Arabidopsis thaliana: one gene and its partners. The protein of the gene in region 3 interacts with the protein of the main gene of each other region in a pairwise test. Each region holds a gene or a part of one and is shown on either strand. Other genes may lie near its edges.

Region 1 (7,929 bases), on a different chromosome or scaffold from region 3:
GGTAGAAAGCCAAGCTTATAGAGAAAATGAAAAATTGTAATCCCTAAATTTGTTTATCTTAGTTTTATGTGGGGCACTAGTAAATGGGCCTAATTTTCACAATAAGAGTAAACAAACATCTATAACTTGTGTGTGTGTGTGTTTTTTATGTTAACCGGTAAAAAAATGTCATCATTTGACTTGTAAGTAAGGGTGGGCAAAAAAACCGAAAACCGAAAACCCGGACCGTACCCGATCGAAAAAAATAGTTTGGTTTGGTTATAGTTTTAAAAAAAAAAACTATTTGGTTGTATTTTTTTATTATTATTTCGGTTTGGTTTGGTTAAAAACCGTAAAACCAGATTATTTTTAGGTTTTTTAGAGAAATTAAAAATAATTATTGATAAATATTTTTGTCCATTTTATAGTGTGATTAGTTTGATTAATAATAGTTTCATTTTAAAAAAAAAAATTTAGTAGGCTTAGAATTATTAATTTTTTTAGTAATTTAGAAACCAAGAATTTAATTTTAAAAAGATATCTATTATATCTAACTTATTGATTGATATATTATTTTCTTTTATGTTTATTTTTATTTATAAATCATCGAACTTATTTTTTTTTGTAAAAGTATGGAATAACTAAAAAACCGGGACCAAACCAAAAACAAATCGAATCCAAACCGAACTGAGATACATATGGTTTTAATATTTATAAAACCGAACCGGAACCAAACTGAATTACATACTGTTTTTCTGTTTTTCTATGATTATAGTTTTTATAAAACCGAAAAAACCAAACCAAAACCAAATCATAAAACCGTACGCCCACCCCTATGAGTTGTAAGAGTGGTTCGATTTAATATAATCTCCTGTTTACTTTGATTGTAGTTCTCGGTTCAGGTTGGTTAAATTTTTACATTAAACCAATTTCAGTTTAAAACGATTATTATAAAGTTCTGAAATTAAAATAGGTTTGACCTTGGATTATCTTGAGTCTTTTTACCCTGCCATCAATTTTTGGTCAAAGTAAGTTAATATTCATTTAAACCGTTTTTTTTTTCTTTTTGGCAAGGTTTGGTATCTGAATTCAATCAGAATTCTAACAGTTCATACCGAAATCAAAGAATCGAATGGGCCAGGCCAATTTTAAGCAGCCTGCTAAGTGCTGAAACTATAGAAAGATATCTTACACTATTGAACACCACTATTCAAGAAAGAAGACAACAAAGGAAGTGGAGCCAATGCAGTTACACATCTTGCAGCTTTGATAATGTATGATGATCAACTAAGAGAAAAATATATATAGCTCATGCTGCAACTATGAACATTGTCAATACATTTATCTCGTTGGTTGATAGCTTAATATTCTTGACTTATAAATGTTCTTCCATACACTAATTATGAGTATAACTATTAGTCTACTCTAGAAATTGTTGATTCTTACACTAAAACGCAATTTCGTAATTTTGCTGGAAAATTTGATTTCGTAATTTGATGTGCTACAACTTGATTCTTAAAATTGAGCACCAAAGTAGAATGTAATGTTTTATATAAACTCTTTGATTTCTCTAATCTGAGGTTAATGATAAAATTACATAAATTATGACATACAAATTTTGGCATAAATTATTTTAATGAATTTTGTAAAGATTTTTTAATAATATTTTCTCAAATTTGAACGTAAGAAAAAACTACATAGAAATTCTACATCTTTATGCATCAAAAAAAATATGATGTTTTAGATGCAACTGAATCTGCATCCAAATATCGCATTCATACAAAAGTACTAAATTGGACAACGAACAACATCGTCATCTAGTACATTTGCATTTATATGTTGCAATTGCATCATACACAAGTACTACATTGGACAAATGAACAATATCATCTAGTACATTTTCATTTATATGTTGCATCCGGCTATATATGTAACTGATGTCTTAATACATGTGAGGCTAAAACAAAAATACGCTTAATTATCCTTCTCTAGAGTTGGCATCAATAAAGTTAGGGTCTATAGATTAGTATCATGTATTATGACTTGGTGGATGGCTCTTTTGACCTCAGCGATGCTTGCTTTCTTCCCTCTTACTTTCGCCCTTATCTCCGCCTCGAAATCATGGTCGTTCACCGAGGTATGAACTGCCGTAGTCTCTATACCAAGCTCATGAAGAACCTGAAGAATGTCAAGCAACAAACCATCTCGGTACTCACATCTCATCTCTAACAAAACATCATTCTCTATGATGGAAACCTCCACCTCCTCCGATGTTTTTCTCTTACAAGTACGCGTCCGCTTATGCTGTTGCTCATGATGAGTATTCTCAAGCTCATGGACCCTCTTTCGAAGATGATTTACGTACGCAATGGTGTCTCCAAGGATTGAGACTTTATCCATCTTGGTCACAAATGGAACCATTGATCTCAACGTTATGAATTTCTCGTTCAGCTTCTCCCTCCTGCGTCGCTCTGCTACTACGTGGCTCAGATCTTCCCGCGGTAGCCTCTTATCTTTAGTGTTGTCATGGAGGAAAGGAACTCTGAAGATCATTTGTTTGAGCACCCATTGTGACGACGGCGCCGTTTTCACTTGCTGATGCTCTTTGCCATTCTCAACCCTCCACGTGGCAAACGATGATTGGATGTAAGAAGATGTGGAAACTGAATCTGAAAGAAGACTTGTGGGGTGTGACATGAGAAGTGTTGTTACTGTCTGAGAATAGTTTCCACCTTCCTCCATTAGATTCATCATGTCCATATGTGTGTCTACATATATATACAAATGATAATTTCTTAGATATAGCGAAATAAATCCGCAAAATATAAGTAGCTTAGGGTAGATATATATACCTAACGTATGGGTTGATTCAATATGAAGATCAGAGTGTAGATTTTGATTGGAAACATCTTCATCATCAGGAGAGCCAAGCCTCATTTCCTCTGACATTGTCATCTCTTCTTCTACTTCTTCTTCGTCTTCGGCTTCTTCATGCACTTCGTAGGTGGAGTGTTCAGAAAGAGCCGGCTTTGGGTTCGTCTTGCAGTGGTCATAGAAGAAACTCTTTGTGAGCTCAACAAACTCTACATCTTCTCTTACCTACACACACAAATACAACAAATAAATATTGATCCATCACTACAAAAAAAAGGATAGATTACATCAATTAAATAGTATCACAAGTATAAATGGTACAAGTTTAAATTACTTATAAGCAAATGACACAAAATAAATAATTAAACATCAATTATAATAAGTGATGTATAAATTAACATGTTTAGCGTCACTTTAATCAAATTGATAGAAATTTGTATTAGTTTGCATCATTTTAACAAATTGATACAAAAATCTGTATTTACACCAATTAAATAACCGATGTATTCACTTAATTTTATTAACATCAGTTTATAAAAATGATATAAAATTATACATCAATAAGAAGTGATGCTAATAAGTTTTTCTGTATTTTAATTTAAACAAAAAACTAACTTGAATTTATTGTAGATGACGAGAAATTGTTATTACCATAAATAAATAATCATATTGGGTTAATAATTTATTATTAATTCCTATATTTTCCCTCAAAATCAGCTAACTAAATATATTTGTTTCCTTCACTATAAATCCTGCTTTTACGCTCACGATCTTTTTTTACAGTTTTGTATCCAAAAACGTTTTTAGAATATCTTCAAATTAGTTTTTGAAATCTCATAACTCTCATTCAATTCTTCATCTTCAACGACAAGTACTTTCTTATTTTTCTATCATTCTATCTTTCTCTTTTTCTTAACCATTGCTCAGTTTTTTTCTTTTCTTTTATTTTCAGAAATCTGCCATTGATCATTAGGACTGTTTGTTTTCCTACACAGTTTGGAGAAACACAAAGTAAAGGTACTCTATCACTTTCTTTTAAAAATACTTACAAATGGTTATTCTTATTCCGACCAAAACAATTCTGTAAATTTTCAAACAATTACTCTCTTTTTTATTTTGTACAGCAGAAACTCAAGTGTGATGAGGATTCAAGAGATATAAGTTATAACCAAAGTATGATTTTGATTCTGTAAATGGAAGAGAGATGGCATAGAAGAAGAAATGGTATTTTTCAAGAAGAACCAACAGTTAATGGAAGGAAGAAGCATGGAACAGAAGAAAGATGTGTTTAAACACGAAGAAACCAAAACCAAATTATGATTATTTTTTTGCTTATCTTATATAAAGATTTATTGTTCATGTAAAATATTTTATTAAATCTTGATAAAATTTTAGTAGATATTCCAACGAGTAATTATCCACAATGATCTGTTATTTAAAAAAAAAAAAGAAATAAATAAAATAATTATTTGAAATATTAATAACATTGTATTAATAATTATATATATATTAATTAAATCAGTTATTTAAACCGAAACAAATACTAACATCACTTAAATAAATTGATGTAAACATTACATCATTTTTAGTAACTGATACAATATTGATATCAATTATAATAATCGATGTAATTATTTTGATTATTTACATCAGTTACTAATTAACTGATGCAAATTATTTGCATCAACAATATTTAAGTCACTTATTTAAGTGATACAAAATTCTTTTACATCACTTTTAACTAATGCAAATATTTATAATAAATGATGTAAAACAACCTTTTTTTTGTAGTGCATCTCCTTAATTTAACATTACTAAACCTAAAGAAAGATAGGCTATATTCACTTTGTTATTTTGTTTATATATTTCATTAACAAGTAAATAAAAGAGAGAGTATATACAACGTTACCTTTTTCGTTGTGCCTAGTTCCACAACACCATCAAGCATTGGAATGCAAACCACTGTCTGCTTTTTTAAAATACATTTTCATCAGAATACAATTCTCAAATCTTACTAAAAAGAGCAAACTAATAAAGACAAATTTTACCTGAATTTTAGCACTCTAAGTCATTGAGGAACCGACGTAAAAGGCCCATAAAACGACAAGAAGAATTATTCAAGTTAATCAGTGAAAATGTATAAAAGTATAGATAAATAGGTTTACAAGTAGATAGATACATAGTATAGTGTATACATAAATAGGTAAAAATAGATGCATAGTATAGTTGGTGAATGAATAAAAGAATTTACCTTAGCGAGAATAGCTCTAGAAAAAGTTTTACTGTCAACTTCATTTGCACCACTTAGCCATACGTGCTTCCTCCTTGCATACGCTTTTCCTGGCATCCTACAAATTACTACCTCCCAAATTTATATTTGATTTTTTTTTACCACATAGAGAAAAGCATGAAGTATACCCATAACTAACCCATTTTGTTATGCATTTATGTTATATCTATTCATGCTTCTACTTTAGATAATCAATCACCAAACAATGAGAATCTCAACGGTCGCAATAATGTTCATGAAAATGTAGTGTGTGTACGTTTCATTAACTCTCATTTCTTTCTTATTCTAGTAACTCAACTTCCTCAGTTTCTCTTTAATGTCAACACAATATTTTCGATATTCGCATTTAACACACAATACTATTTTTGTCTTCACTTAGAGAAGGAAAAAAAAGAAAGAACAAATTTAGAAACTTGAGTATAGGGAGAGAGTTGTTTACCCAGATGGAGGAGGAAAAGAGAAAGAGACGCACATTAGATAAAACCATTCTGTCTCCGTCAAATCCTCCGGTGACAATGCGGTGCATGCTCTTGCTTCTGACGTTGACTCTCCGGCTAAAAGTGTCTCATAAAGCTCCCTGAGCTGTTGGCTCCTCTCTAACGCCGCCTCTTCTGCCGTCACCTCCGCTGGTTGAGTTGTCTTCCTCGTCTTTATTGCACCGTTGTAGTATCCATTCCCCCACACCAAGACCCTAAACAATGATACTTTCATATAAGTAGTTCAAAAATCTTAATAAATTTTGTAAAACCTTCAAAAAAAAAAAAAATTATTTCAAGATCGAATTGTAACACTACGACAAGCCAACAATTAGCCGAATTCATTTAAACATATAGTTTACATAATATATACGGATATAGATATTATGGTTGTATTGTGAGAGATGAATGAACTATAGAGATAAGAAACTAACCGTTGTTGAGGACAAAATTGCCAGAAGACACTATAAGTCCAGTCCACAGATTGAACCGCCGTCTTAAGCAGCCCTTGAAGCTCTTTTTTCTCAGCTCCGGCCACTTTCTCTGCCGGAATAATACTTGATTCATCCATCGTTCCCGGAGATACGAAAACGTGGTAGCTCTCTCTCTAAAAATCTTATAACTTTGAAGGGTTGTTATTAATATGTGAGAAGAATTTACTCTCATACGCTCATGATGACTTAAAATGGTATGGGACCACTGATTTTTGCAATATGCATGTATACGTATATCATCTTAGTGCTTTTGCAACATGTTGACATAAGTAAAGTATAATGCATGTAATGACTTCTATGTATATATGTATGTATATGAATGCATGACCAAAACTCAAGTGCATTAAAAGTTGACTTTTGATTTTTGAATGGTTGGTTCACCAGACGTTGGATGAGAAAGTGAAATAATGAAAGATCTATGTATCTTGTAGACGTGTCATATACTAATTGGACAAATCAAAATACAGAATGAATATATCTAATAATGCTATATTTATTTATTGTTCAGAAAGCATAACATATTATTGTAGATAAAATAGCTAACTGACAAACAAATGAAAACAAATGTTGCTTTGACTTGTGTTACTGCTACAAGGAGCAAAGAAATTGCGTTTTTCACATTTCTATTATTTATAAAATTGATATTAAAATTATATATTGATTAAAATGTTCATTAACAATTTTAAGAAGTTGGAATTATTGGATGAACATTCATATATATTTTCTTTAAAATGAAAAGATAAACTTAACCAAAGATGGGGAATGGTAGAATTGTTGACCTGACCGGTAAGTAAAGAATGAGAAATGGTTTGGTGTAATAAAGGAGAAGAATGAGATGTTTCACATTTGAGTTATTAAATTATTGATGTTAATTGCTAGCCAAGTAGCAGCCACTAGCCACTATAAGTTTCCCATTTAATAATGTCTTATAAAATATAAATGTAGATAGATACTGTTACGTACACATATCGTAGTACATACGATTTTGGGTATGGTTAAGGGTAATGTATGTACACCTGGTTACTTAGACAAAATCAACATTGAATGTTTCTTGGCTTTTTTGTCGACAAAATAAATGTTGCTTGGCTTTTGCTTCTGCTTCTGTGTTTCTTATTACATGTTGTTTCTTCTGAGTTTAGTCGTTCACCAATTATGTAACTCTGACGACGGGCCACGTGGAGTGGTTTCTTCTTATTGATTTTGCTTCTCCTTGTGTGCATCTTTGTGTTTATAAATAAAGGTGTTATGTAACTCATTTCTCATTGGAAATGATTCAAATAACAGAAAATAAACAATACTGTTCTAACACAGAAATGAGCGATTGGTTATTCACAATCACAAGGACAATGCTTTAGTACATAAACGAGAGGTTGGTTAGGCACAAATGTTAACTAAAACCCAAGTTCTTCCATTCCAGAAATGACAAATCATTCCTATTTATAATGCTTTGTTTTCAATGAAAATGACATTAGCCAAAAGTGTTTTGGCAAGAATTAGTTGTTGGAATACAATATATCTTTACAACGCACAACTGCATGAGCTTTGAAGGACCCCGGCCGGTTTATGATGAGAGTGAACTATTTGAAAAGTGGACCACATAATTGTAGAAAAATAATGGGTAATATAGTGTGATGCAAATTGGTGTGAAGTTTTTTGAGTTATTTTTTCTTTCTTTTTCTGAAATGTAATCATTCGTGTGAATGAGAGATTTCTTGTATTTTGTTCAATATATTAAGACCCGGTCCAAACCGGTCAGTTGGACCGTAATCCCATGATCCCGTTGGGGATCCATGGCTAAAATCGCCATGTATTGAAC
Region 2 (7,127 bases), on a different chromosome or scaffold from region 3:
GAAACATTGGTCTTCGATATCCTTAAGGTCGAGTGGTCTGTAGCAAGCATCTCCTCTCAATCTTCTGTCACATCCAACAAGGTGGATAAATAGAAAAATCACATTCTTATATGTAACTAACTTGTATATTCTTTCAACCCCATCTGTTAAAAGCTCAGTTATTGTCTTGTGGTATGTTTGAAATAGGGATTTAGTCTAGTTCTTCTGCAACACAAGGATAAAGATTTCCTTGTAGCTTTTGGAGGAACGAAAAAAGATCCTTCAAATCAGGTTCGAGCCTTATCATTCCGCTGTATTGTTCAAGATCTCAATTTATGTATGTGTTTTGATGCTATGTCTGAACTATGAAAAGGTCGATGCTTTTACCATTGACAAGAACAAGAGTGAATCACCAACACATCCGCAAACAACTTCCAAGAAAAACCCCGGCCGGTTACTGTTTGGAAAAAGATCTTCTTCCTCGGCAGTTTTAACCTCTGATGAATCGGTTAAAGCCTCTTCACAGAGGCTGATTGATTCAGTTGCCAGACAGAAACTTGCTTCAGCCATTGAAGAGCATGGTGGCTCTGGTAGAAGGTCTTTATCAGAGATTGCTTTCGGTGATCATCGTAACCCACCTTCTGGAAATGTCTCTTTGCGTAAACAGTTTAGCACCGAAGAGGAATACAGAGCGGTGATTGAACCCGCAAAGTGTTCAGAAGAAGACATTTCCGTGCCTCCTCCGGTATATATAGTTAGTTCATGATTCACCTGCATTTATTGACGTTCTTGAATTTGCTTTTAAAACGTCTTGTCTTGGTTTCAGACCACAGATGACAATACTGGAGGAGCAAAGATTACAGCAGAGAAAACACTTTCTATGGTTTCTGACCGTGAAATCTTAAGTCTCCAGAAGCAATGCTCTGAAACATATCCTTTAGAAAACGTTGATGGCGCCTTGATATTCCAAGAAATGGATAATATCAACTTTGCAGGATCAGCGTCCTCATCGAGCGTGTACCAATTCCATGAAGCGAAAATGACGGCTCTTATAAGAAGAAATGGGATTCTGGAAGGGCAGTTAGAAGCAGCATTGGCGGGAAGAGAGGCGGCTGAGAGGAATGTGTCGGTTGCGTTGAGGAGCAAACAAGAGACTGATAAAAAGTTATCTGACGCCATGAGAGATGTTGAATTGCTTAAGGAGAAGCTGACCGGGTTAGAGCTCGCTCAAGAGGAAGCTAATAGTTTGTCAAACATGGTTCACTCCGACAATGTCAGGCTTGAGCATGATGTAGCGTTCCTCAAAGCTGTCCTAGACGATACACAAAAGGTAAAATAATCCTAGTAGATATACAAGCGTTTTCAAAAGACTGAGGATTAAAGTTTAATACCGTTTTGTGTTATGGGTTTTGTAGGAGTTGCATTCAACAAGAGGAGTTCTTGCAGGAGAAAGAGCAAGAGCGTTCCAGTTGCAGGTGTCATCATAATCATCAATAGACTCTATTCAAATTTGCATTTTCAAAATGTAGTATTGTTCTAAAAACTTGAGATGAACGCAGGTTGAAGTGTTTCATCTGAAGCAAAGATTACAATCTCTAGAGAACAGAGCTGCTACACCCAGAAAGCCTTTCCATGTCTAAACACAGACCAGAGACAACACGATAACTTTTATGACTTCCATTTTGTAGTACTCGAGACATGACTGAATTCATGTGTGTTGTGGAGTAATGTATAATAGAAGTGAATTCAGAAATGTCAAAAATCAAATCAGATCCCAAGTAGAATAAGACAAGTGACGATATAAACAGCCATTTCATTAAACGTCACCAACTAATAAGCTTACAAAGATACACACACATGAGATGAGACTGTTTACTAGTGCGAGACTTTTGATCTCAATGATTTAGCATTTTTTTTAGGTAGACATAGAAAATAACATTATCACTGAGACTCTTCCTCAGGTGGTTCTTCTTCTTCTTGAAGAAGGTTCTCACGGTTGTCATGAGCCCAGAAGCCACGCACATCTATAAGCATGCTCGCAACGGTTCCACCTTGTTTACATCCCAAGAGATCACCCAGAGTGATCTTTAATGGGTCAGACGGTTTCACCATGTCCCAGATCTCGTCTCGAACATCTTCTATGCACAGTTCATAGTTCCCACCTTCTATCCATTTCTGGTGAACATCTCTGCAAGTTAAACAGATGAATTCAGAAGAGAGACAATGGCATTATCACACATCAATGGTGTGTTTGATATGCACTAGTGTCTTTGCAGATATGAGACTCGCGGAACAAAGCTCAGCTTCCGCAAGCAGGAAATGCAGAGTGTTTATTTAGGAAGATTGTATCAGATAACATCACAACTCTTTGATGCTCCCCTTCTTTACTTCCATGTTTCAAACAAAATTTACTAAAAAGTAAGAAACCAAACAGATTCAGTCGCTTCATAGAGATTCATTACCTGAAAAGAGAGTGAATATCAGCAGTAGTGAGAAAGCCTCTCCCTTGGAGATCAAGGCAACGGAATAAATACGTCAAACCCTCTGGAGTATCTTTGTTCTCCAAAGCAAGAACAAAATCGAGGAAACTGTCAAAGTCCATTTCCCGGGAATTGCCTGCCACGATTTTACCACGGCGGACATGCTCATCGAACACTAAAAAAACAAAGGGGAATTAGTATACTAAGCGTGTCTCGATCAGTACCACGAGCCTACAATCACCAAAAGGGCTTAAATTTACCTCTTTCAATGAAAATCTCAGTTAGGGTCCCATCAGCATATTCTTTAAGTTCTTGTTTGCACAGCGATCCACTCATATCTTTATCAAGTGCGAGGAACATATCTACAGAAGAAAGAGAAACTCTAGATCAATCTCCATTTTAGTTCTTAATATGACATAACGAGAGTTGTTTCCAGTTCTCTGCAGCTATTAAGACAAAATAGCACACCCACCACATATGCGTTGGGCTGAAGTCAAAGAGAACCAATTTTCTGCCTGTTCAGTGTCTGTGACTTCCTCCTCGCTTTCCTAACGTTGAGTAACCAAGGAACAATCAGAAAACACAAGCAAGTAGCTTATGAAAGTGGAAAGTTATACGGTGACGAAGCTGTATGTCATACATCCTTCAACTAAACTTACCTGATGCAATTCCATTAGTTCCTGCAGACAGTTACTGAGCAGTATCTTTTTAATGCAGGCTCTTCCTGTACGCAAAAAATATCACATTTACGAGCGATTGAATACTGGGTCAAAGAAATTTCTAATTGCCTAATAATAATAATATTTTCTTTCACTTACCTCGCCTATGGGGATCACAGAAGAAGAAAAACTTTTGTGAAGCTATGCGGCAATACATTTGATTAAAGGCCGGAGGCATGTCTCTCAGTTGTGCCAGATTAGGGATTAGACCACCAATATAGGACTCCATTTCCTATAATAACAACAGCAAGTAGACTAACTGTAAGGAACTTGACATAAAAGTCAACACCATTTGACATTTGCAGGTAGGACGACTACCTAAAGAATCTTGAGCCAATTCTAAAGTTAAAGCTTTAGAGCCACTTGAGTACTTACATCAGAATGAAGGAAACCATCAGAGTCTTCGTCAAGCTCACTCATATCAATCCTAGCTTGTGTAAGCGACACCTGAATAGTGTTGAACATATGATTAATCAAAACAAGTATTAACTATAGTTGTTTAAGTAAAAGACACGCCAAATTAAAAAAACTTGAAAAACAAACATCCAAAACTAGCAAAGCTGGTGTCACTCAAACACAGTACCAAAGAATATTTAGCTTATGGCGACAGATGATATTCAGCCAATGAACAAAAATGATACCCAAAGACATGACATTATAAAAACATAAGGATACTCACCGTGCGCATCACATAAAGATAAAACGGTAAAATGGCAATCCTCCCAGCCTCATCCTTCTCAAATTTCATGAAATTGGATGGGCTAAAAAACCGGCGACATTTGGGACCGATTTGTTCAGTGCATACAGAGGCAATGTGACAGAAGTCTTCATAGTTCATCTACATGAAAAAGACAGCGCAATATCAGCATCATTGTTAACATAGTTTCAGCTCCAGAGAAAAATCCTATAAAAGATGCACGTACCTTTTCAGCACCAGTGGCATCATCAATCACACAATTTTCTCTCAAACAAACCCACATAGCAGCCAAATCATCAGCGTTTAACAAAAGATCCGATTGTTTCTGTGGGAATTAATCAACATATCGAAGTGAGCAAAAACATTAAACTTCTTCTGAATAATTAAGAGCAGGCGAAATACCTTCAAGAAACGGTACTTTGCAAGCTTCTGGACCCTTTGACTAATAGATCCTTCTTCTGGTTTCTGAACCAAGAGTAAAGGAACAAAATTTTATTGCCTAACACGAATACTTAAAAGGAAAAACAACTTCTATGAAGTGTATAACACAATGCAATATTTTAACCGAGTAGTGCCTTGAAATGCAAAGGCAATCATTTTATACAGAGTAAGGGACATGCCTTCTTGTAGAAACTCGGTATTGTGCCTGCTTCTTGGCTTTTCTGTTGCTTCTCTTTAAAAATCTCGAGCAAGATTCTCTTCGTCTCAAGCTCTACAAAACAATGAACACAAACCCTTATCAAACTAAGCAAAACCAAAGACTCTATCACAGTTAAACATAGTCTTTCAATACATAGACATGTAAATTCAGGAACTTTACTCATATTGAAAACACAACGAGCTCTAAAATGTGATCAAAGATTCAAACTTTACAGAATTTATGACATCATCACAAGCTAAAAGATAAAAAAACTACAGACTGTCCCAACAACCAAAACGCAACAACCGGCAAAAGGAACATTACCCATTAGAGCTTCGGATCCTAATCCGGCACCGGAACCAATATATCGTCGTAGATTTCTAACCCAAAGCATCGAAGACGCCGGTGGGATCTTCCTCTGCGTCGATGTATCATGACTCTCACCATCGCTAGATCCGCTATACATTCTCGGAGATCGTCACAACCCTCGACGATAAATGTTAGTCACCAAATGAAGCAGAGAGATTAAAACCCTTAAATAGAATGGTGAGACTGAACCAGGAACTGCAGAAACCCTAAAGCGCCCCCTTTCTCTCTCTCTCCCTCTCTGGAGCTCAATCTGCGAGATCCAAGCTTCAAACTTCAAAGGTAATAAAAGTTTCTCCTTGTTTGCTATATAAGTCCTCAATTTTATACTACTTTTGATTGTAACCCCCTTTACTTTGAAAAATCAATATTTAGTACAAAATGTTGTTTATATCACATAAAGTCCCGTTAAGATTTATCAGAGAAACAAATGGCTTCCATATCCATTAACTGTTTCTTCACTCCTCAAGCTCTAGCCCGACCCAGTAGGACGAGGAAGATTTTCGCTAAACCTGACAAAGTCTCGGGAAGAACCCGAAGCCCTAGAAAAACGAAGCTTCAACGCGAAGTCGAGCTTAAATCTCGAGGCGGTGATAAACTCCAGCCAGTTTCTGATGCCGGCGGCGAAGCCACTACTTATACACGTCTTCCTCCTAGGGAAGATTACTATGATGTCTCTCTTTTGTCTTCATCTTATTTAAAAGTTTCTGAAGAAGTGAAGCTATCTGAGTCCAATGTCGCGAGGGTTGAGGAAAAGATTGAAACTTTGAGGGAAATTGAGGAAGAAGAGAAAGAAAAGGAGGTGAAGAGTTATGATGATGATGATATTTGGGGAAATTACAGAAGATTAGATGTGTTTGAAGGGAGTTCAAGATCAATTGATGAAGATGATGAAGATTGGGAAGACGAAGTGTTTGAGTATGGTGATGAAACTGATGCGGAGAAAGATGATAGTGAAGGGTCTGAATTGAAGGATGGAGAAGTGTTATGTTTCTCCGGTGAAGAGGAAGAGGATGAAATTGGGGTGAAGGAGAAAGGAGTTCCGGCTGTGATGAGGTGTTTCGATAGAGCGAAGATATATGTTAGAGCCGGAGATGGAGGGAATGGTGTGGTGGCGTTTAGGAGAGAAAAGTTTGTTCCTTTTGGAGGACCTTCAGGTGGAGATGGAGGGAGAGGAGGGAATGTGTATGTAGAGGTTGATGGGTCTATGAATTCGTTGTTGCCATTTCGCAAGAGTGTGCATTTCAGGGCGGGACGTGGGGAACATGGGAGAGGGAAGATGCAGAGTGGAGCTAAAGGTGATAATGTCGTGGTGAAAGTGGCTCCTGGGACGGTGGTTAGACAGGCTAGAGAGGTTGGGAGTGAGGTGGAGGGTGAGGAAGGGGAGGAGAAGGAGGTGCTTTTGGAGTTGTTGCATCCGGGACAGAGGGCGTTGTTGTTGCCTGGAGGGAGAGGTGGACGAGGGAATGCTTCGTTTAAGTCGGGGATGAATAAAGTTCCTAGGATTGCTGAGAATGGCGAAGAAGGTCCTGAAATGTAAGTGTGTATTTTTCTTCATTTTTGAGCTGGTTTTAGTTTAGTGTGTTGATGATGGTTACAAGCTTTGATAGGATAAACTAATCACAGAAGCTAGATTGTTCAAAGATGTAAAAATTTCATTTTGGTTTAGGAACAGTTGATTTGTATTTCTTTTGTTTGGTAAAGCTTGATGTTTACATGTGAGCCCTGCTTCCTTCATTCGATCATCTGGGTTAGGTTTAGTATCTCGGTTAATCTCCAGAGGAAATCTCATCTTGTAAGTAATGCTCACTATACAAGAATTTATATATAGATACAGGTACAGGACTTTTGAAAGTCTTCCATTGCTGACTCTGCTAGTAGAAAAGCTCATGTTGATAGAGGTATGTTAGAGTATTATGAACGGATATGAGTTTCTGGGTTATCTATAGACTGGATTGGGTACTCTTAGAGTCCAACACTATCATGCTGTTGGAGAATTATGAGACTGTGTTTGCCTTTAGGAAATGTAATATGTGGTTCATATATATATTTTTTTTTTTCTGGGAAGCTCTGATTCCCAATTATAACTTTACATATGCCTATAGGTGGCTGGACTTAGAACTGAAACTGGTCGCAGACGTAGGTATTGTGGGTGCTCCAAATGCAGGAAAAAGCACATTGTTGAGCGTGATAAGTGCCGCACAGCCAACCATAGCAAATTACCCATTCACCACATTACTTCCCAA
Region 3 (5,956 bases):
TTCCTCAGAATATGTTCTTGGAAACGAGATTTTAATTTGATGGGCATCATCATTCTTCGACACTACAACCATTTTAAAATTTTGTTTTACTCGTTGAAAGTATTTTCTTTTCAATAATGGTGCATTCTAGGTTTGATTAAATTGTGAAGTCCAAACCCAAGCCCAATAAGGGAAGTTTGAGGCCTAACCCAACTCCTAATATAAGTTTCTCGTGTGTGTAATTCTATGATATTACCTTTTTACGATAATTTAATTAGTCATTTTAAAAATCTTTTAATGAACTAATGACGCGTCGAAGCCGCGATTAAAAGCTGCAAAAGTACATGCATGAAGTCAATGTATAACGCTTTCTATGGTATTGACCTTGGCAAGTTTAAATTTTTTAGGCTCATATTTCGGACCATTTAAGGAAAGCAATATCTAGAAATGGAATGTAATTACAAATGTTCTTAAACACGACACCAGTCATTTAGGAAAGAAACACGAGACTTTTTCTCTTTGGTTTTGACTGATTTTTGAGGTCCTTAAAATTAATACCGAAACCACTTCAGAGGTTAAGATGTCACTTCATCATTAATTGTCCTACACACCAAATTTTCTATTGATATAAAATTTTTGCATGTGAAGAAAAAGCCCAAAAATTTACTCGGATTTTAAAGCAGATTCCTTCGATCTAAAGAAAGAGAGAAAATGGAGAATATGTTAGGTCTTCTAAGACTTCATGTGATTAGAGGTGTTAATCTTGCCATCAGAGATTCTCAAAGCAGTGATCCTTATGTCATTGTCCGTATGGGAAAACAGGTAACCCCAATTTTTCATCTTTTCTTTTCCAATTTAGGCTTTACATTTTCTGAGTTCTTCTGTTCTTGTCAAACAAAATTTTCTTCTTTTCTTTTGATCGAGTTTGTCAAGTAATTGGTTAATTGCTTCTTGAGCTTTCTTTTGTGAATGGATCTTTGGTAATGATTAATGAATTTTGTTATGCTACTTCTGATGTAGTTATTGAATGAGAGAAGTATAATATGTCTTTTTATAGATTTAGATGATCTTCACACAAAAAAAAAAACTTTTTTTTTGACTTAATTGGTCATTTGAATTTCGTAGGCAAATGCTGTGTTATTAACATATCCATTATAGTCACATACTGTCAAAGTTAAATTACCGGCTAATGAGAAATTCCTAGGAATTGATTTCTACAAAAAAAAAAGTAGCTAAAAATGAAAAGCATTTTCAACAAGTTTTTGATTTGTTCGTGCATTTCTTATTTGTGTATAATCTATTTATCTTATATGGTTATGTTATGACTCTTTCTGGACGCAGAAGCTACGAACCCGTGTGATGAAAAAGAATTTGAATACAGAATGGAACGAAGACTTGACACTTTCTGTTACTGATCCAACTCTTCCTGTCAAGATCGTAAGTGATTTCGACATTACAACCAAATCAAACACGATACATTAGATTAGACCACAATATGGATTCTTTATATTTGGAAGTTTGAAACAAGACTTAACAAGAAAAATTGGTGTTTTTTTTTTGTTATAAACAGATGGTGTACGATAGGGACAGGTTCTCAAGGGATGATAAGATGGGAGATGCGATTTTTCACATTGATCCGTTCCTTGAAGCCATCAGAATCCAAAACCAACTAGGAGGACTACCTGAGGGGACTGTAATAATGAAGATACAGGCAAGCAGACAAAACTGCTTGTCAGAAGAGAGCAAGATTGTATGGCACAAAGGAAAGATTGTCCAGAACATGTTCCTTAAGCTTCAGAATGTTGAACGAGGGGAGATAGAGCTGCAGCTTGAGTGGATCGATGTCTCCGGCGCCTTGACTGATGATGCGGAGGATGTTGCTTTCTAGATCGACTCTATACTACAAGAAATTCCTGTGATGATACGGCGAAAACAATAACACAAACTGATGTAGTGATTTACTCAATTAATAATCTTAATGCACTAGCGATCTTATCGATGAAGCAATTAAGAGTAGAACCACAAGGACTAATTCACATTAAGAATGCACATAATTACTTAACTTAAGAACTAAATGTTGCATTGATTCAATAAACCGGTTGCAATAATTTATTTAAATATATATTTTAGTTTTAAAAATTAGTTATATAACAATTTATACAGAGTGATGAGGTCGTATATATTAAATATTATAAAAGTTACAATGCTCAGTCAAAATAAACTAAGAATTACATGGGTCTATAAAATAAAATCAAATATTACAATGATTCGTCGAATAACGATTACAACTTTATTTAAATAAATAAATATTTCTAAATTATATAAAAAGTTATACCGAAATACGCAACAGTAGATAATTAAAAGTTTATTAAATAAAAAAAATTACAACGGCTCATAAAACAAAATCAAAAGTTGCAATGATTCGTCCATATAGATCAAATGTTATAACAGTTCAATTAATCTGTTGCAATTTTATTTAAACATATTTTAGTAATCAAAAATAACCAGAAAATGAAAATATATAACTTTAGTTGAACATACATAACTTTTTAACAAAACATTATTATAACTTTTTAACTTTAGTTTCTTTTTTTTGTAATATTTTGAAGAAATGTTGCAATAGAAAGACAACCATGTAGAAGTACAAAACAGATTTATTGACATTGTTATTATTATACGTAATTAAAAAGAACGAAGAGTCTGGCTGCTAAGTGCAGTGAACCATTTCTCTTGTCTAAACAATAGCAAAACAAACTAATTTTTAGCAAATTCAGCATGAATTAAACGTGGATATAAAATATGGCAGTCACTGCACTCTCTATATAAAACCTCCAATAATTTGTGAAGGCTTCACACATGCCATATATATAAATTTTATAAAATTTGTGAGATAATTTTCTATTATCTTTGCTCCATGGGCGAATCACCCAAAGGGTTGAGAAAAGGTACATGGACTACTGAAGAAGATATTCTCTTGAGGCAATGCATTGATAAGTATGGAGAAGGCAAATGGCATCGAGTTCCTTTAAGAACTGGTATTTGTTTCATGCTTTTTAAGGTGGTTCATGAAAATACTATTTATATCGATTGGTGTGCATATATTCTTCATGATAAAGATAAAGGAGGTACAAAAGAAATCTAAGTAGGTATAGTAAATTCGACTTTTGGTTTTATAGGTCTCAATCGGTGCCGAAAGAGTTGTAGACTTAGATGGTTGAATTATTTGAAGCCAAGTATTAAGAGAGGAAAACTCTGCTCCGATGAAGTTGATCTTGTTCTTCGCCTTCATAAACTTCTAGGAAATAGGTATTGTTTTCTCGATAGTCAATACTATTTCTTTAGGGATCGCGGTTCAATACTAGAAACTCTCATGTATATTGTTTCACAATGTTTAGGTGGTCCTTGATCGCTGGTAGATTGCCTGGTCGGACTGCTAATGATGTCAAGAATTACTGGAACACTCATTTGAGTAAGAAGCACGATGAACGATGCTGTAAGACGAAGATGATAAACAAAAACATTACTTCTCATCCTACTTCATCGGCCCAAAAAATCGATGTTTTAAAGCCTCGGCCTCGATCCTTCTCCGATAAAAATAGTTGCAACGATGTCAATATCTTGCCAAAAGTTGACGTTGTTCCTTTACATCTTGGACTCAACAACAATTATGTTTGTGAAAGTAGTATTACATGTAACAAAGATGAGCAAAAAGATAAGCTTATTAATATTAATCTATTGGATGGAGATAATATGTGGTGGGAAAGTTTACTGGAGGCAGATGTGTTGGGTCCAGAAGCTACGGAAACAGCAAAGGGTGTGACCTTACCGCTTGACTTTGAGCAAATTTGGGCTCGGTTTGATGAAGAGACTTTAGAACTGAATTAGTGTTGCTCCCCATTTTTGTTTGCACGTGTGTATTTATGTTTCTGTGGATGTTTTTTATATTGCAATTTTTAAAAATTGTATTATTAAATTCATATCAAAGGTGGCAGCATTTGTTACAATATAACTTAACACGAATTCAAACCCGAGAAGATAACGTCTAATGGTTCATTAGGAGATAATATGAGAGTCGTTTCTACTTATATTGTGTTGTATGAGGTGATGCGATGAGAGTGAAGAAAGGGATGTTTCTACTTATGTTTTTTTTTGCTTTTTATTTACAAATTTATGGTCTTTTCTAAACCAACGTCAGAAAGTTCAATTCTCCAAAAAAACTACATGAATCGTAATTTTTTTTTATCTACAATACTACGTTTTAAATTGACCTAGATAATTAGGATCAGAGTAAGCTGCAATAAACTAAAAGAGAAAAAAGTAAGAAAAAAAAACTAAAAAAAGAAAGAAAGAAAAACAATTCTTCTTCTTCTCCGATGGAGACACACGTTCCTCCAACTCGAACAAATGGATGCATGCCTCAAAGTGGGTCCATTCAATCCGATCTGAAATTAAGCAGACTCAAAATTGGTCCGATTGATCTAAACCGAAATCAATTTTAATTATGATGAGATTTTGTCGAAATTAATAATTAGAAGGGTCATTGATTATTTTAAGGAGACATGTGAGCTATCTCGCACATTAAAATCAAGAAAGAACTTTGAGTGATATCATATGGATCAATATATTTATTATATCAATTGGTTTTGACTTTTCCTCTTAAAAGAAAACAACAACAGTTTTCTAACGCAAATAATGTTGATGTCCTTTGGATCCATGTCGGTTGCATAGTATACACTAAACATGCATTGGAAAAAAACAAAAATTCTTAAAACTTACCATTATCGTTGTTTTTATTAGCTTTGAATGATAAACTACTATCAAAACGATATATTTTTTTTGTATATTTTCGATATTTATCATTCACAATTTTTTTTATCAAAATCATTATAATATTTTTTATTTTTAGTTTTATTGTACAACTTTTTCGTATAACTATTTTTTACAGTTTTACATTGTTTCAAAATAACTTACAGTTTCAACTAATTTATGTTATCAATCAGATCTATTATTATTATATTCTATTATATATCAATTTAACACATGGGTTTTGGCAAACATAACCACCGGAGGATCGGAAAGGAACTTGTGATTGAATAGTGTTTTCTTATTAAAGGTTACACACATACAAGTGTGTAAGTCAGATTTTTCTAAAAGATTCATAAATTTAGCATTCTTTGAGAAAAAACTTAAACGTGAAACTTCCAAGTAAATTATTCTTCAGAAAATCTATAAAACTTTGTGTCAGTAAAGTGAAGTTTATTCCTTGAAATTCTCCCAAATCCATACTAGTCTCGTTCATCTGGTATTAATTACTATGACGTCGGTTGAAAAGAAAATATAAAATTCTAAAAATGTATGATAAATATCTATCACTTCAAAAGGAAATTTTCCTTACAGTGTATGATTATTTTTGTTCTGGAAAATCTTGAAAGAAATGACTTCACACCTTATAGCTTTTATGAAATTATGTCTCATGTGGAAAATTGTTTGTGGACGATGAGCATACACGTTGGTTTCACTTGAAAAGTTAAAAAAATTCTTACTATTTCCTTCAAAAATATTCTACAAAATATCAGCTAATCATCACCAGTGCTATCCTATATCATAAAATTACATAATTGGTGTGTTTTGCGCTAACAAAAAAGAATTAATATTATTTTAGTTTTTGTTAAAGGATATTCTGTCTTAGTTTTTATGTTATATCATACTTGTTTCACCAAAATCAAATTATATATTTTAATCATAATCTAGAATATATTATTTTAGAGGTATCTGGAATAAATCAAATTAGTTTTTATGTTATATCATACCTGCTACACACTATGACTTGTTGAATATTTTGTGATCAGGTCTTGGGTTACCTTTTTAGATATTGTAGAAATCTTCATGAAATATGTATGTTGTAGGAAGCCTGAATTTTGACCGTTATGTGGGTCAAGAGTTATGTACTAGATATTTTTTTACTAGATAAAAAAAT

Evidence for each region. The genes of interacting proteins can lie anywhere in the genome.
Region 1: the proteins of MYB113 (region 3) and TT8 interact in a two-hybrid assay, tested with the Arabidopsis thaliana proteins (one study listed by BioGRID).
Region 2: the proteins of MYB113 (region 3) and FASS interact in binary tests that used the Arabidopsis thaliana proteins (3 or more experiments, as listed by UniProt).

Annotation. Positions count from the first base shown.
Region 1 is NC_003075.7:6,180,328-6,188,256, reverse strand, and holds TT8 (basic helix-loop-helix (bHLH) DNA-binding superfamily protein), read right to left. Parts: upstream 6,377-7,929; 5' UTR 6,191-6,376; coding exon 6,054-6,190; intron 5,835-6,053; coding exon 5,583-5,834; intron 5,202-5,582; coding exon 5,105-5,201; intron 4,917-5,104; coding exon 4,902-4,916; intron 4,820-4,901; coding exon 4,763-4,819; intron 3,079-4,762; coding exon 2,832-3,078; intron 2,748-2,831; coding exon 1,996-2,747; 3' UTR 1,734-1,995; downstream 1-1,733. UniProt on the Arabidopsis thaliana protein: Transcription activator, when associated with MYB75/PAP1 or MYB90/PAP2. Involved in the control of flavonoid pigmentation. Plays a key role in regulating leucoanthocyanidin reductase (BANYULS) and dihydroflavonol-4-reductase (DFR).
Region 2 is NC_003076.8:6,173,008-6,180,134, reverse strand, and holds FASS (tonneau 2 (TON2)), read right to left. Parts: upstream 5,164-7,127; 5' UTR 4,982-5,163; coding exon 4,840-4,981; intron 4,588-4,839; coding exon 4,496-4,587; intron 4,341-4,495; coding exon 4,278-4,340; intron 4,201-4,277; coding exon 4,102-4,200; intron 4,017-4,101; coding exon 3,858-4,016; intron 3,626-3,857; coding exon 3,554-3,625; intron 3,411-3,553; coding exon 3,278-3,410; intron 3,184-3,277; coding exon 3,119-3,183; intron 3,008-3,118; coding exon 2,932-3,007; intron 2,822-2,931; coding exon 2,720-2,821; intron 2,635-2,719; coding exon 2,442-2,634; intron 2,432-2,441; exon of another isoform or gene 2,168-2,431; coding exon 1,921-2,167; 3' UTR 1,734-1,920; downstream 1-1,733. Other genes in the region: AT5G18590 (Galactose oxidase/kelch repeat superfamily protein), read left to right, coding at 1-81, 187-270, 353-724, 806-1,309, 1,395-1,454, 1,539-1,619; EMB269 (GTP1/OBG family protein), read left to right, coding at 5,312-6,417, 6,987-7,127. UniProt on the Arabidopsis thaliana protein: Probable regulatory subunit of type 2A protein phosphatase involved in the control of the dynamic organization of the cortical cytoskeleton.
Region 3 is NC_003070.9:24,750,741-24,756,696, forward strand, and holds MYB113 (myb domain protein 113), read left to right. Parts: upstream 1-2,848; 5' UTR 2,849-2,893; coding exon 2,894-3,014; intron 3,015-3,155; coding exon 3,156-3,285; intron 3,286-3,374; coding exon 3,375-3,864; 3' UTR 3,865-4,021; downstream 4,022-5,956. Other genes in the region: AT1G66360 (Calcium-dependent lipid-binding (CaLB domain) family protein), read left to right, coding at 691-801, 1,321-1,416, 1,550-1,867. UniProt on the Arabidopsis thaliana protein: Transcription activator, when associated with BHLH002/EGL3/MYC146, BHLH012/MYC1, or BHLH042/TT8.